Linked DNA regions of Arabidopsis thaliana. The protein of the gene in region 1 interacts with the protein of each later gene in a pairwise test. Each region holds a gene or a part of one and is shown on either strand. Other genes may lie near its edges.

What was found. Proteins that work in one complex are often made in the same cells at the same time.
Region 2: the proteins of AT5G52530 (region 1) and SR30 interact in a two-hybrid assay, tested with the Arabidopsis thaliana proteins (one large-scale study listed by BioGRID).

What each region holds. Positions count from the first base shown.
Region 1 is NC_003076.8:21,315,500-21,321,787, forward strand, and holds AT5G52530 (dentin sialophosphoprotein-like protein), read left to right. Parts: upstream 1-1,630; 5' UTR 1,631-2,015; exon of another isoform or gene 2,016-2,510; intron 2,511-2,661; 5' UTR 2,662-2,715; coding exon 2,716-2,898; intron 2,899-2,991; coding exon 2,992-4,307; intron 4,308-4,395; coding exon 4,396-5,383; 3' UTR 5,384-5,768; downstream 5,769-6,288. Other genes in the region: AT5G52540 (keratin-associated protein, putative (DUF819)), read right to left, coding at 6,173-6,288.
Region 2 is NC_003070.9:2,942,038-2,947,597, reverse strand, and holds SR30 (SERINE-ARGININE PROTEIN 30), read left to right. Parts: upstream 1-1,621; 5' UTR 1,622-1,779; coding exon 1,780-1,866; intron 1,867-1,989; coding exon 1,990-2,055; intron 2,056-2,141; coding exon 2,142-2,216; intron 2,217-2,295; coding exon 2,296-2,398; intron 2,399-2,483; coding exon 2,484-2,530; intron 2,531-2,637; coding exon 2,638-2,695; intron 2,696-2,818; coding exon 2,819-2,868; intron 2,869-3,011; coding exon 3,012-3,068; intron 3,069-3,141; coding exon 3,142-3,254; intron 3,255-3,351; coding exon 3,352-3,429; coding exon of another isoform or gene 3,430-3,442; exon of another isoform or gene 3,443-4,033; coding exon of another isoform or gene 4,034-4,070; exon of another isoform or gene 4,071-4,371; coding exon 4,372-4,429; intron 4,430-4,696; coding exon 4,697-4,711; 3' UTR 4,712-5,060; downstream 5,061-5,560. Other genes in the region: AT1G09150 (pseudouridine synthase and archaeosine transglycosylase (PUA) domain-containing protein), read right to left, coding at 1-41, 143-210, 307-388, 989-999; AT1G09130 (ATP-dependent caseinolytic (Clp) protease/crotonase family protein), read left to right, coding at 5,381-5,560. UniProt on the Arabidopsis thaliana protein: Regulatory splicing factor that modulates alternative splicing and gene expression in specific cell types. Autoregulates its own expression. Probably involved in intron recognition and spliceosome assembly.

The DNA of each region.
Region 1 (6,288 bases):
ATTTTAAGGTTTGAACATGAATAACATTTCAACCTATGAAAGTTTAGAAATCATTTGATAAACTTTTATATTCATTATAGCAATTTAATTCTTGAAAATTGGTAATCTTAGATTCCTTTGACTAATCAAAAACTTGGTAATGTTGAGATATATATAAGTGATCAATCTAGTGAGGGGGTGGCCATACATAGGTGTATTAGTGCTTATGAGTTGGTAAGAAATATAGTCTCAAGAAATCTCTTCTTCTCTTCTTTAGTCTCCGCATGATTATTATCTCGACATAATCATGTAAAAGATTTATGATTTAATATAAAACTATTACATAGATGATTTGTTTTAATATATATTTTTTCTAAATATTCTAGATACCGGAACTTTCGAGAAAGAGATAATATCACAAAAAAACAGCAAATAGTAAGGTAAAATTTTCATTATTCTTATTTAAACATTTTTTTTAATAACATATGGATTCACCCAAATGTTATAATATCCATGGATATAGATATCCATATTATATAAGATTTATGAAAGTATATCTTTGTATTTAATTTTTTTTATATAAGTCACATAATATGAGAACAATATTTTCTAAAACTATACAAAATAGATTATATAAATCTTGAAAAAGACCATGTATTTTGATTTAAAGATTAAGATCTCTGGATGTTCATCTTCATATTTATTTTTGTATTATATATTTATATTGTAATTAGTTTTTGTTATTTATAATATCAACAAATTCAGATCCGGATAATTGTTTCTCGAGGTAATTCGAATCGGAACATCTCGAAATTTTAAAGTATCTAGTTCTGTGTCGACTTTATTGTATTATATCATTATTTACACACAGGAAATAAGTTCTAAGCATATGATATTTTCAGTAGCAAAACTTTTTCTTATATAAGCTATTAAATATTTTTTTTCATAAAATATACTTTCAGTTTTTAGAAAATTTATAATTGGTAAAAATTTATTTACAAAGAGCGGGAGCCAGGAAAAAAGAATTGTTATTATTTCAAGTGTAATTTTCTTAAACGTTGACATTTTTTTTGATTATATACTATACATTGATCAAAATACACACGTGCAAAATTTTAATCTAATCATTAATAAATTTGATCTTTTTTATTTTACCGTTACGTTTGAAATTATAATATAACGATGATTATTATTTTCTATATATCAAACCAAAAATAGCTATTTATACAATCCAAATCTTTTTCTTTTTTTAATCACACAAATCATTAACATTTGATGAAGTTGTTTCTTTTTCAATCTCCATCAAGATCATTAAAAATATCATTTTACAATAAAAAAAAATTAGGGGTTAAAACATAAATAAAACAGAAAGTATAGGGGACAAATAACACAAAAACACCACCACGTCCGCCACCAAAAGTTTTAACTTTCACACGAAGCTAGCCATGTCACTCTCTGCTCTTCTTGACCATTGACTTTTTTTAGAGATACAGAGATATGTCTTACTATTTAATTTCCTCATTTTGCAAAATGGTAAGAACGAAAAAGAATACCGTCATTGAGGGTAAAACCGTAAATATTAGGATACAAACGAGGGCAATTTAGGTATAAAAGAGGATGATAAATACGTGGTAATAGGTCACCACCACCAAGCTCTTCTTATGTTCATCCCAAAAAAGCTTTAATAAAAAAATAATCGTTTCTCTATGAAGAAGAAGACGACGACGGAAGAGGAAGACCTAGCATCGCCGACGATTTATTTTTGAATTTTCTTAGTCTAAGATATCTCCGGCGAGGAGACGTAGATTCATCGATCTAATATTCATCGATCTCGTTCTTGTGGCTTTTTAAATCGCCCAGACTTTTAAGAGACGCTGGATTTGATATCCGAGAAGAGCCGTTTGATAAATACGTAATCGATTCGAGCGGTGGATAGTGAAATTACGGCGGAGGAGTTGAATCGGATCTCGGTGGTGGTGTGTTTCTGTATTTGAGTGAGGAGGAAGGAGAAATATAAAAAGTAGGTGGAGACTCAGGTATATGAAAACCCTAAGTTCTTTGATTACTACTGCTCTTTGTTTATTGGTTCAATCAAGGAGAGATCTGTTTTGCTTATGGACGTCAATGGAAGATCCCTTAGGCTGCGATACGCTTCGAATATTCTTTTCGCCATGGAAGATCCCTTAGGTTTCTGCAATTTTCTTGGGAGATCTCTTAATCATGAGAACGATTTCTTTTTAACTCATCTTCCTCAGGAACTTAGTGGACATGAGTCTAGCCTTTACCCTTCTGATTTGGCTCATCTATATGATAGAATTAGGACACGATGATACTCTGATTTTGGGCAAGTTTAATGGATCTTGGCTTCACGCGGCCATTCAAGTTTTTCCAGAATCTTCGATTTGGCCAAGGGCAGTGATCTGAAGTCAGATTTAATCGGACTAGAAACATGAATAAATACTTGTTTTGTATGCTTTTAATGTCAAAACTCTGGAGGTTTTTTTCAGACTTATAGCGCAATCTGTCTTAAGGTAAAGGCTCATAGAGTCTTTAACTTGACTGTCTAGCTATGAAGTTTTTTTGCCTGCAGTGACTCTATTATTGTATACTAGAAGTAGGCAATAGCTCTTGCTTATGTTTTTTTTTTAATATGGTTTACTAATGAAAGGTTATTGCTTGCAGGTGAGGTAAGCGTTCATAAAACAAAAATCAAGTTTTGTGGGAGTGCATTGAAGCATGACAAGCAATAAAGGTGCTATCATCCCTCCAGAGCTTCCTTGGAAACCGGTGGCTAAAGGTAGCAGAAGTTCAACAAGGCGTGGCAAGAAACTAGTTAAACGAGTTGCAGCTTCAGATATTGAGTCAGAAGACAAGAGTTCAACACACACACTAGTAGCAGGAGAATCAAAGCGTCCAAAGGTTCCTCTTTTACTTTTTGTGCTTTCTTTCTTGATTTTGTTAGGAAATTTCTGGTCTCTTGATTTTAGTTTTTATTCTTTCTATTTATTGCAGCTTGGCGTTTCTGTTCTAGGTCAGCATTTCGTTGAAAGAGTAGAGCATGTTCCGATTAAGAAACGGATATTTGTGGTTAGCTCTCCATCACCATCACCATCATCATCAAAGAGGTCATCTGCTCAACGTGAAGGCTCAGAACATAAGGCACAGATCAACCATGTTTTACCTGTTTCGAGATTAAACCCTAATTTGGTCTCAGACGTCCGTGATGAAAAGCCTGATTACAGTGTTCATGACTTTTCTGGTATCAAGATACTTGCTGATGCTGCTTGCAGTACTGATGTGAGTAATGATTTTGCACCAGCTGTAGACCGTCTGCCTGCTGAAGAATTTGCTGTTCAGCTACAAGATACCTCAACCATATCAACTCATGTTGAAGGTAACGATTCATCAGCTGGAACTGCTGATGTCTCGCATACTGCGGTTGATTCCGGTGATCAGAGTGGCCAAGGAAAGAGCAATATTGTAGCGCCTCAGAAACATCCTCTAACAAATTTGTGCAATGAGTTGGCTGATGAGCAGAGTGTAGAGCACAGCAGAGTAACCTCTGGAGGGATTATAGCACCTAAAAAAACCTGCATTGCTCTTTCAAATGAATCCTCAACAGAAAGACCAAAGGATAATGTAGAAGCAAGTGAAAGTGAACCTTTAGCACCTGATAGTGGAGCTGTAACGGTGTCAGAGAAATTATCAGCCGATGAGCCAACTGAAAAAAACAATGAAGGCCTTAAAGATGTTAAATTTCTCTGGGATTTAAATATTCCTTGTGATGTAGAAGATGAAGCGTCTCGAAGAGATGAAGAGGGAGAAATCACAGAGTCTATTGCCCCTAAAGGGAGCGAACCTTTTGATGGAAGTAAACACAGTATGGATGGGGTAATTGCATCAGATGAACATACAAAATTTTCATCACCATCTAAGCCTAATGATGAAGCAGCTGCTACAAATGACAAGGATTGCCAATCTGGTTATGACTCCCAGTTTGAGGATGGAGAGTTGAGGGAACCATACCCTTGGGAAGAAAATGAAGAGGTTGAACAGTTGGATTACGGTTCTGAGCCAGAGGATGAGAGATTCTACTCTATGGGTTCTGAGAAGGGAATCTTGACAGATGAGAATTTCAGTCATGTTAAGTGTGAATCTGGTGATGCACTGAGAGTTGGGCAGGCTAATGAAGGAAGTGACATAGAGAAGCAAGCTGTTGTAAACATGAGCGATTCACATCCTAAGAAGGGCTCTTCTTCTCCTTCAAGGAGTTTTGGTTCAAAACCATACAAGGAGGTGCCTTCACATGATGCAATCCAGAGGAGAAGGCAAGTTTGCTTTCCCTGAGCCTTTTTTTTTGGTCAAACGCTTATTAATAATTTGTTAGTAACTGAGTCATGGTTCTTTATGATTCAGGCCTGATACTTATGAAGAGGTGAGCACGGGTCCAGATAGGTTTGCTCGGAGAGACGACAGGTCAGGGATGCGTATGCGTAATCGGAGTCCTCAAAGAGGGTATTTTAGTGGTTGGGATTCCAAACGACGCTTCTCCCCTCCTAATTACAAAGATGGTTCTTATGGTTCCGGGCGTCCATGGCATAAAAGAATGGCAGATGATCGAGGTATGATGAACGGCTTTGATGAGTCAGGGTCAGGACAAGGACCAGGACCAGAACCAGAACCAGAGGGTTATGTTCGTAGGCAATTCTCAAATGGTGGATACAGAGGTCGGTTTAAGAGATTCCCAGATGGTGGGGATCGTAAATTCAGGGGCCCATACACTGATACAAACCAATTTTCTGGTCGGATGCACAACCGGATGAGTGGTAATAGGAGAGAGAGAGGTGGCTCTCCGGTTGTCAGGAGATTGCACCACCCGCAATCAGAGTCAAGATCCAGAAGCCGTTCTCCAGTCTTGTGGAATGGCCGTAACAGATCACCTCCTCCTCCTCCAGGTGGGTTTAGAGCAGACGAGAGGATGACGGAAAGAGTGAGGCTGCCTTTCCAGAAACGGTTTCCTGCAGATCAGGAGATGGGTTATATGTCACCTCCGAGAAACAGAATGTCGTCGCCGAGGTTCTTTGAAGGGAGGAATAATGGTGCTGGAGAGAATTATAATAGCTTCAGAGAAAGGAAGTTCCGGCCTGGACAGAGATTTTATGTCGGAAATTCCATGAGAAGACCGAATTCTGACAACAACAACTTAAGACCATTTATTCCGAACAGAAGATTTGACAATCCGGAAGAGAGCACTGGTGGGAACAGGTTTGAGATGACTCAGCAGCGAAGGACTCGACGGTCTGAGACCACAGAAGATGGAGGTGATGTTATTCGACGGTTCAAGTTTAATGAAGAACAACAGTCAGTGGTGGTAGCCAACGACAACAACAACAAAGAGTCATGATAACAGATAACGTAAGAGACTTGTTTGGGTTCTTTCCAATAGAATCTCTCTTATGTTAGTTTAGATTTGTTTGTTATGTTTGTTATCCTAATTTTATTTTAGGAAGAGGTAAGAAAAATGCCATGGCGTCATCTGTTACGTTTATGACTGCTGGTATTTTTGTTTTCTTTTAAATTTTCTCATTTTCTTTCTACAGAGTTTTTAGGGTTTTCTAGGCTTAATTTGATGCTGTTTTCCTTTTCTGGAAATGATTTCTATATTTGTAGAAAATCAACAAAATGAAATCAATATCTTTTTTTCTTACCATATTTGTAGCTCAAATGAATTTTGTCAATAAAAAATGAGAAAAATAGCACCAATCTTGAGATGGTACAAGGACAAACTTATACGTACTTCCTACATTACTATATGGTTCTTAGCAGCTTTTAGATATTTTGTTGCTTTGGTTTTGGAGAGTAGAAAAGTATTTACGAAAAGAAAGGAAAAAGACTTGCGGCACTGTCTACACTGAGAAGAGGTCATAACCTGCAAGTAAGGCCCAAAATAATAGAAAGAGATAGTAATGAGCTACGTGGTATGAAACAAATTCATTCGAAGGTACAAAGCCTCAAAATAAAACACAGTAAGGAACCCTTTGGCAAATTAAGCCAACTTGAAATTTTGTGGGGTTTACAATATAAATCAATATATATATATATATATATATATATATATATATATATATATAGAGAGAGAGAGAGAGTGAGCACTGAGCAGAGTCAGGTCCATAGTTTAGTTATACTACCATCTTCACATGAACTTAAGAACTTTAACTCCAAATGCAATTCCTATGAAAGTTGCAATGGCGATCCCAAATATTCCGGCCAGAATCCCGGGAACTATCAACGAGTTCCATCCCTTTGCCG
Region 2 (5,560 bases), on another chromosome or scaffold:
GGGGGACATTGTTGACAACAACTAGGGTCAGATGGTTTGGGCTGCACGAGAAATATAGTCAGGAATACTGTAAGACATAGATAGTGGGTAAAAGAAAATTCAGAAAACAAAACAATGAATATGAGTTTGTTAATTTACAGACCACTTCACTACGATAAGAGGAATCTTTTTGGGAAGTAGATCCTCCATCACTGATTCAAGTCCCGGGTACTGCAACATTAACATAAACATATTTATATCTGACAAACTTCACGAAATCATAAAAGTTTAAGAAGGGGAAAAAGACAAATGAAACAACAGACATACCTCATCTTGGATACTCTGGCGGATCCTACGTTGAACAGATGCCTTCACTTGGTTTTGTGATGAAATCTCCTCCAAACAAAACCTAAATAAAAAGTAGTGAACATAAATAACACCTTCATAGACATAATGGTATATCAAATAGATCTAAAGTTGATAGCAGTAGGGAAAAATAAACTTTATACAAGATTCACTATGAATGTATAAGCATGTTTCAGGAGATGGATAAACACAAACTCCATGATAGTAGAGAGTTTAGACTGGTCAAATCAAGACACAAACTTTCCTCTATGACCCACGACTCTTTGTACAGATTTGATAAATCAAATAGTGACACTATCAATATAGAAACCAAAACTTTACAATAGCAAGATGTTAGCTTTTGAGAACTCAAAACCTTCTACTTTGAAGAAAATATAACAACCAATATGCCCATACCAAGGCTACTCTAAGCAATCAAATTAACAATGTGGTCGACAACAAGTAGAAGGGAGTGAGTTCTCGATAGTTATTAGAGTAAGTGGATACTAAATAAAGAGACCATCACATTCTTTATCAACTAGTATAAACAATGCCGAGATGTTGAAACCACTAATTCTTAGATTCTACAATCCGGGTATGAAAAACAGTTTCTATCTAAATAAAAAAGTAGAGAAAGAATCTAGAAAGAGACAAAGATGCTTACTTCTTAAACATGTTCGAGGTTTATTGAAAATGATCACCAGCTTCTAACTATGGTATCTTCTTCCCTGCAAGCGAACAGTGGAAGATGATTGATAACGGAAATATCGGAACATCACTCAACAAACCAAAAATTTGGACATCATATCGCAACAAATTCAATAGGAAAAATACTGAAATTCCAAAACAGAAAAACCAAACGGAACAGAGCAGGAACTCACGGACTGAGAGAGACCGTGGACGGTGTCACGGCGGAAAATGGTCTTGGACGGAGTTACTAATCGGCGAATTGAGATTTGAGAGGTGGTAGTAGAGGAACCGAGAGAATGTTTCTCTCAAAAAAATCCCCAAGTGTTTCCGATCTAGTGTCTCTTTTGTCCAAAAACGACAGTGTTTAGGAAACCTAGGAGAATGAATGACCCGATGGTCCGAATCCGATTCGAAATTGGTTCGAATTGTAATAACTAACATACAATATTCCGGTTTGAATGATAAGAAAAAACACATTCGATCCGGTTAGAACAATATATTAACAGGCCCATTAAAACATATGGGCCGATCTTGATCAACTGGGCTATTCATCGTTGATACATGCGGCCGCACAGGATTAAAATCCAGTTCCGTTTTATAAAAGGATACTAGTTTCCAAACGAACGGTGGTTGTCTCCTTTCCAGAACAATCTAACGCTTTCTCGAACATCTTCTTCTTCTTCTTTCTCGAAATTATTTTTCCAGTAATCAATTTCTTCTCTTCTAGATTTTTACAGGAACTAATTTTCTGCTCTGAGGTATCAGATGAGTAGCCGATGGAATCGTACGATCTACGTTGGGAATTTGCCTGGAGATATTCGCAAGTGTGAGGTTGAAGATCTCTTCTACAAGGTTTGAAAATTCCTCTTTTCTCTCGATAAAAATTGAATTCATTATGACTTGTTTGGGTTCATAAATTTGCAATTCTGTCTTGCTGAGACAATTTAAATCGACTCTTATGTATATTTGTTTCAGTATGGACCAATTGTGGACATTGATTTGAAGATTCCACCGAGACCTCCTGGTTATGCCTTTGTCGAGGTATATTGATCAAGTACAAATTTGTTTTTTTCTTCTTCTTGTAATAGTATAGGCTAATGACTAAGATAGTTTGTTATTGGTGGCAGTTTGAAGATCCTCGTGATGCAGACGATGCAATTTATGGACGTGATGGTTATGATTTTGATGGGTGTCGACTTCGGGTTAGTAAACGCATGATGAAAGCTAGCTTAATTTTCTGTAATTTCTTGTAAAGGTGTTATCTTTGTGTGATGTTTTTAGGTTGAGATTGCACATGGTGGTCGTAGATTTTCACCATCAGTTGATAGGTACAGCAGCAGCTACAGTGCGAGCCGTGCACCTTCAAGACGCTCTGACTACCGCGGTTTGTAGAGTCTTCTCGATTGTGTTATTTGGTGTTGTGTAAAATTTTATATTTGAAAACTCATTTTTACTACCTAAACATGTAGTGCTTGTGACCGGATTACCGCCTTCTGCTTCGTGGCAGGACCTTAAGGTAAGGGACACTATATAGTCTTTTTCTCTGAATGTTGGTTCTCTATATCATGTTTTGGATTTATCTCTTTTCTGAAATGATGTTATTTGCTATTTACGGGTGATTAGGATCACATGCGCAAAGCTGGAGATGTCTGCTTCTCTGAAGTTTTCCCTGACCGTAAAGGTGAGTTGACATTCGATAGTTTGGATAAGCTTTTGATTGATGTGTTAGTAAATTAGTCTTTGTGAAGGAGAATAGGTGTTAAGCATCTGAACTGCTAAACTCACATTCAGTATTTCTTTGTAGGCATGTCTGGGGTTGTGGATTATAGCAACTATGATGATATGAAGTACGCAGTAAGTTTTATATCTTTGCAACGCAAATGTTCCTGGACTTATGCCTTAGACTGCTTTTGTTTCATAGTATACCGAGCTGAATTTATCTTCCTGGAGGCCAGTGTTGGATCTTTGATGTTCCCTTAAAATTTTTGATGTGACAGATAAGGAAACTTGATGCCACTGAATTTCGAAATGCTTTCTCTAGTGCTTATATACGGGTATGTTGTATTGCTTTCTTTGATTTTGTTAAGCATAAGTGGATATGGAGTCATCTCTGAATTTACTGTTCAGGTGAGGGAATATGAGTCGAGGAGTGTGAGTCGAAGCCCAGATGATTCTAAAAGCTATAGAAGCAGGAGTCGGAGCCGTGGTCCAAGCTGTAGCTATAGTAGCAAGAGCAGGAGGTCTTTTTTTTTTTTTTTTTTTCATAAACCTAAGACATATAAGGGATTTTTATTGTAACTTATTTATGAAATTAACTGACTTCTAAATGCAATGCAGTGTGTCACCTGCTAGATCCATTTCCCCGCGTTCACGGCCCCTTAGTCGTTCTCGCTCGCTATACAGCTCTGTCTCAAGGTATGAGTGTTAGATTTGTATCATTATTATATATGTAGTTACCCCTTCATGGATCACTTGTTCTTGCATAGTGAACTCCTTACTAGCTTTATTACTTACAACTAAGCACCTTTTGTTGCTTCCGTACACAGTTGAATTTGTTTGAGTCTTTTTTCCCTCATAGTGGACTAGTCTATTGTCACTTGATTTTCTTCCTTTGTTGATGTTTTCTATGTCATGCAAACTCCAATATGGGTAAAGGTTACCTCCTTGTTTGGGATTACCAGAGTTCCTTTTCATTTCTTACACGTGAATGTGTTTGTTTTTTATGTTTTGAGTTCTTGACAGAGATGCTCCCATCATATTTAGTCCTTTTCCTTTCTCTTTGTGTCGTTCTCTTCTGGATGTTTCCTTCTGATAAAGCTTTACTTCTTAACTTTTTTCCAGCGACGGTGAATTTATTACGTATCAATCTTCATTATCCGACTTATAATTTAAAGAACACTTAGCTAGATGTTTCACTTTTTGAAAATTTATTTCTATCGGAAGGGGGAAGATGGATTTCTGAGGCATGTCCTCGATCATTTACCGTGATTACAATTGTATTGCGTTGTTTGTTTTCTAGATCTGGCTCACTGCTACGAGCTGGGGATTGGATCTAGATGGGTCATCTAGATGGATTCTTGGACTGGATTTACAAAGCTGGATTAGCATGAACTTGAACTTCTGTTTTTACGGTCTGGTCTGGTCTGGTACTCCGCGCGTATCAGCTGTAGGATCTGATCGCAAAGTTTTGGACTATGATTACTCTGATTCCTCAATATATTTATCTTTTTGACAATAGTGGATTCTGTGTTGAGTTCTTTTCTAGGACAGCATTTAAGCTCCCGGGACTAGATGGGAGATGGTCAGTAAATTTCTTTGTTATGCCACACTTACATGGGGTTTTTGGTCTTGCTGCAGGTCCCAATCAAGATCAAAATCAAGATCAAGATCAAGATCGAATTCTCCAGTTTCACCTGTAAGTCTAAAAGCTGAACCTTCTTTAATTCACAATCCATGGTGTTTGTTTAAATACCTGCTCACTTTGGTTGTTCTTCAATCAACACCAACTTAACGAAATCATGAGACAGACTATAAAATTTGAAGAGTCTTAGAACGACTAGGTCTCACCAACCTCTGTGTGCACTAAAAATCGCCTCTCCAAGTGTTTCAGCAACATAATCTACCTCTGTCATGTGTTATCATTTCTTCTTCTCTTAACGGTATTACATATTATGTTTTGCAGGTGATATCTGGTTGAAAATGAAAACTGGCCACTGGCTGTACCCGAATCGTCTCAAGCTTCTCAGGCTCCACTGCTAATAGAATTTGATTCCGATTTGGGATTATTATACTGGTCTTCTTGTATGGGACGACCAATATGTCTTTCTAGTTTTAGTTGTGAACCTGGAATTGGTCTGTTATTGTGTCATTAAAAAGCCGGAAACTCTGTCTCGGCTGCATAATAAAGTTCATCAGACATTGTGTTGGGTGTGGTGAGGTTTTTCCATACATATACATTTACATTACAACTACTGGTGTCTTTTATGATTATCTTAAACTAAACTTGCAGTGTTAAAACTAAACTTGCTTTTGTTTTTGGATAAGATCACTCTAAAACGGTACAACCCCTGCCTGTATCCTACCAACAGTAACAACACACTACAGCTCATAGGCCATAGCACCAGAGTTTTGTGTAAACGAAATGGCCCAGAATAATTGCAATTTGGTCCGAAAGTAAAGTCTATTGCGACTGGGCCTGTTCCCTAAAATGTGATTTGGGCTATAGCCGGAATATCAAATAGCGGGTCAACCCGAAACCCGACCCAGTAATTATTCTCTCCCCTCCGAAAGCATCGATAAATCCTCTGGTTTCCTTTGTCCAACGAGTCCATTTTCGCGAGCTTCCGTGTCCAAGAGCTCCTCGACCATGGCGTCTTGTTTACAAGCATCCATGAATTCTCTGCTTCCACGCTCTTCTTCTTTTTCTCCTCATCCTCCTCTATCTTCGAATTCATCCGGGAGAAGAAACTTGAAGACTTTTCGTTACGCCTTTCGCGCCAAAGCCTCTGCCAAAATCCCTATGCCTCCGATAAATCCAAAGGATCCT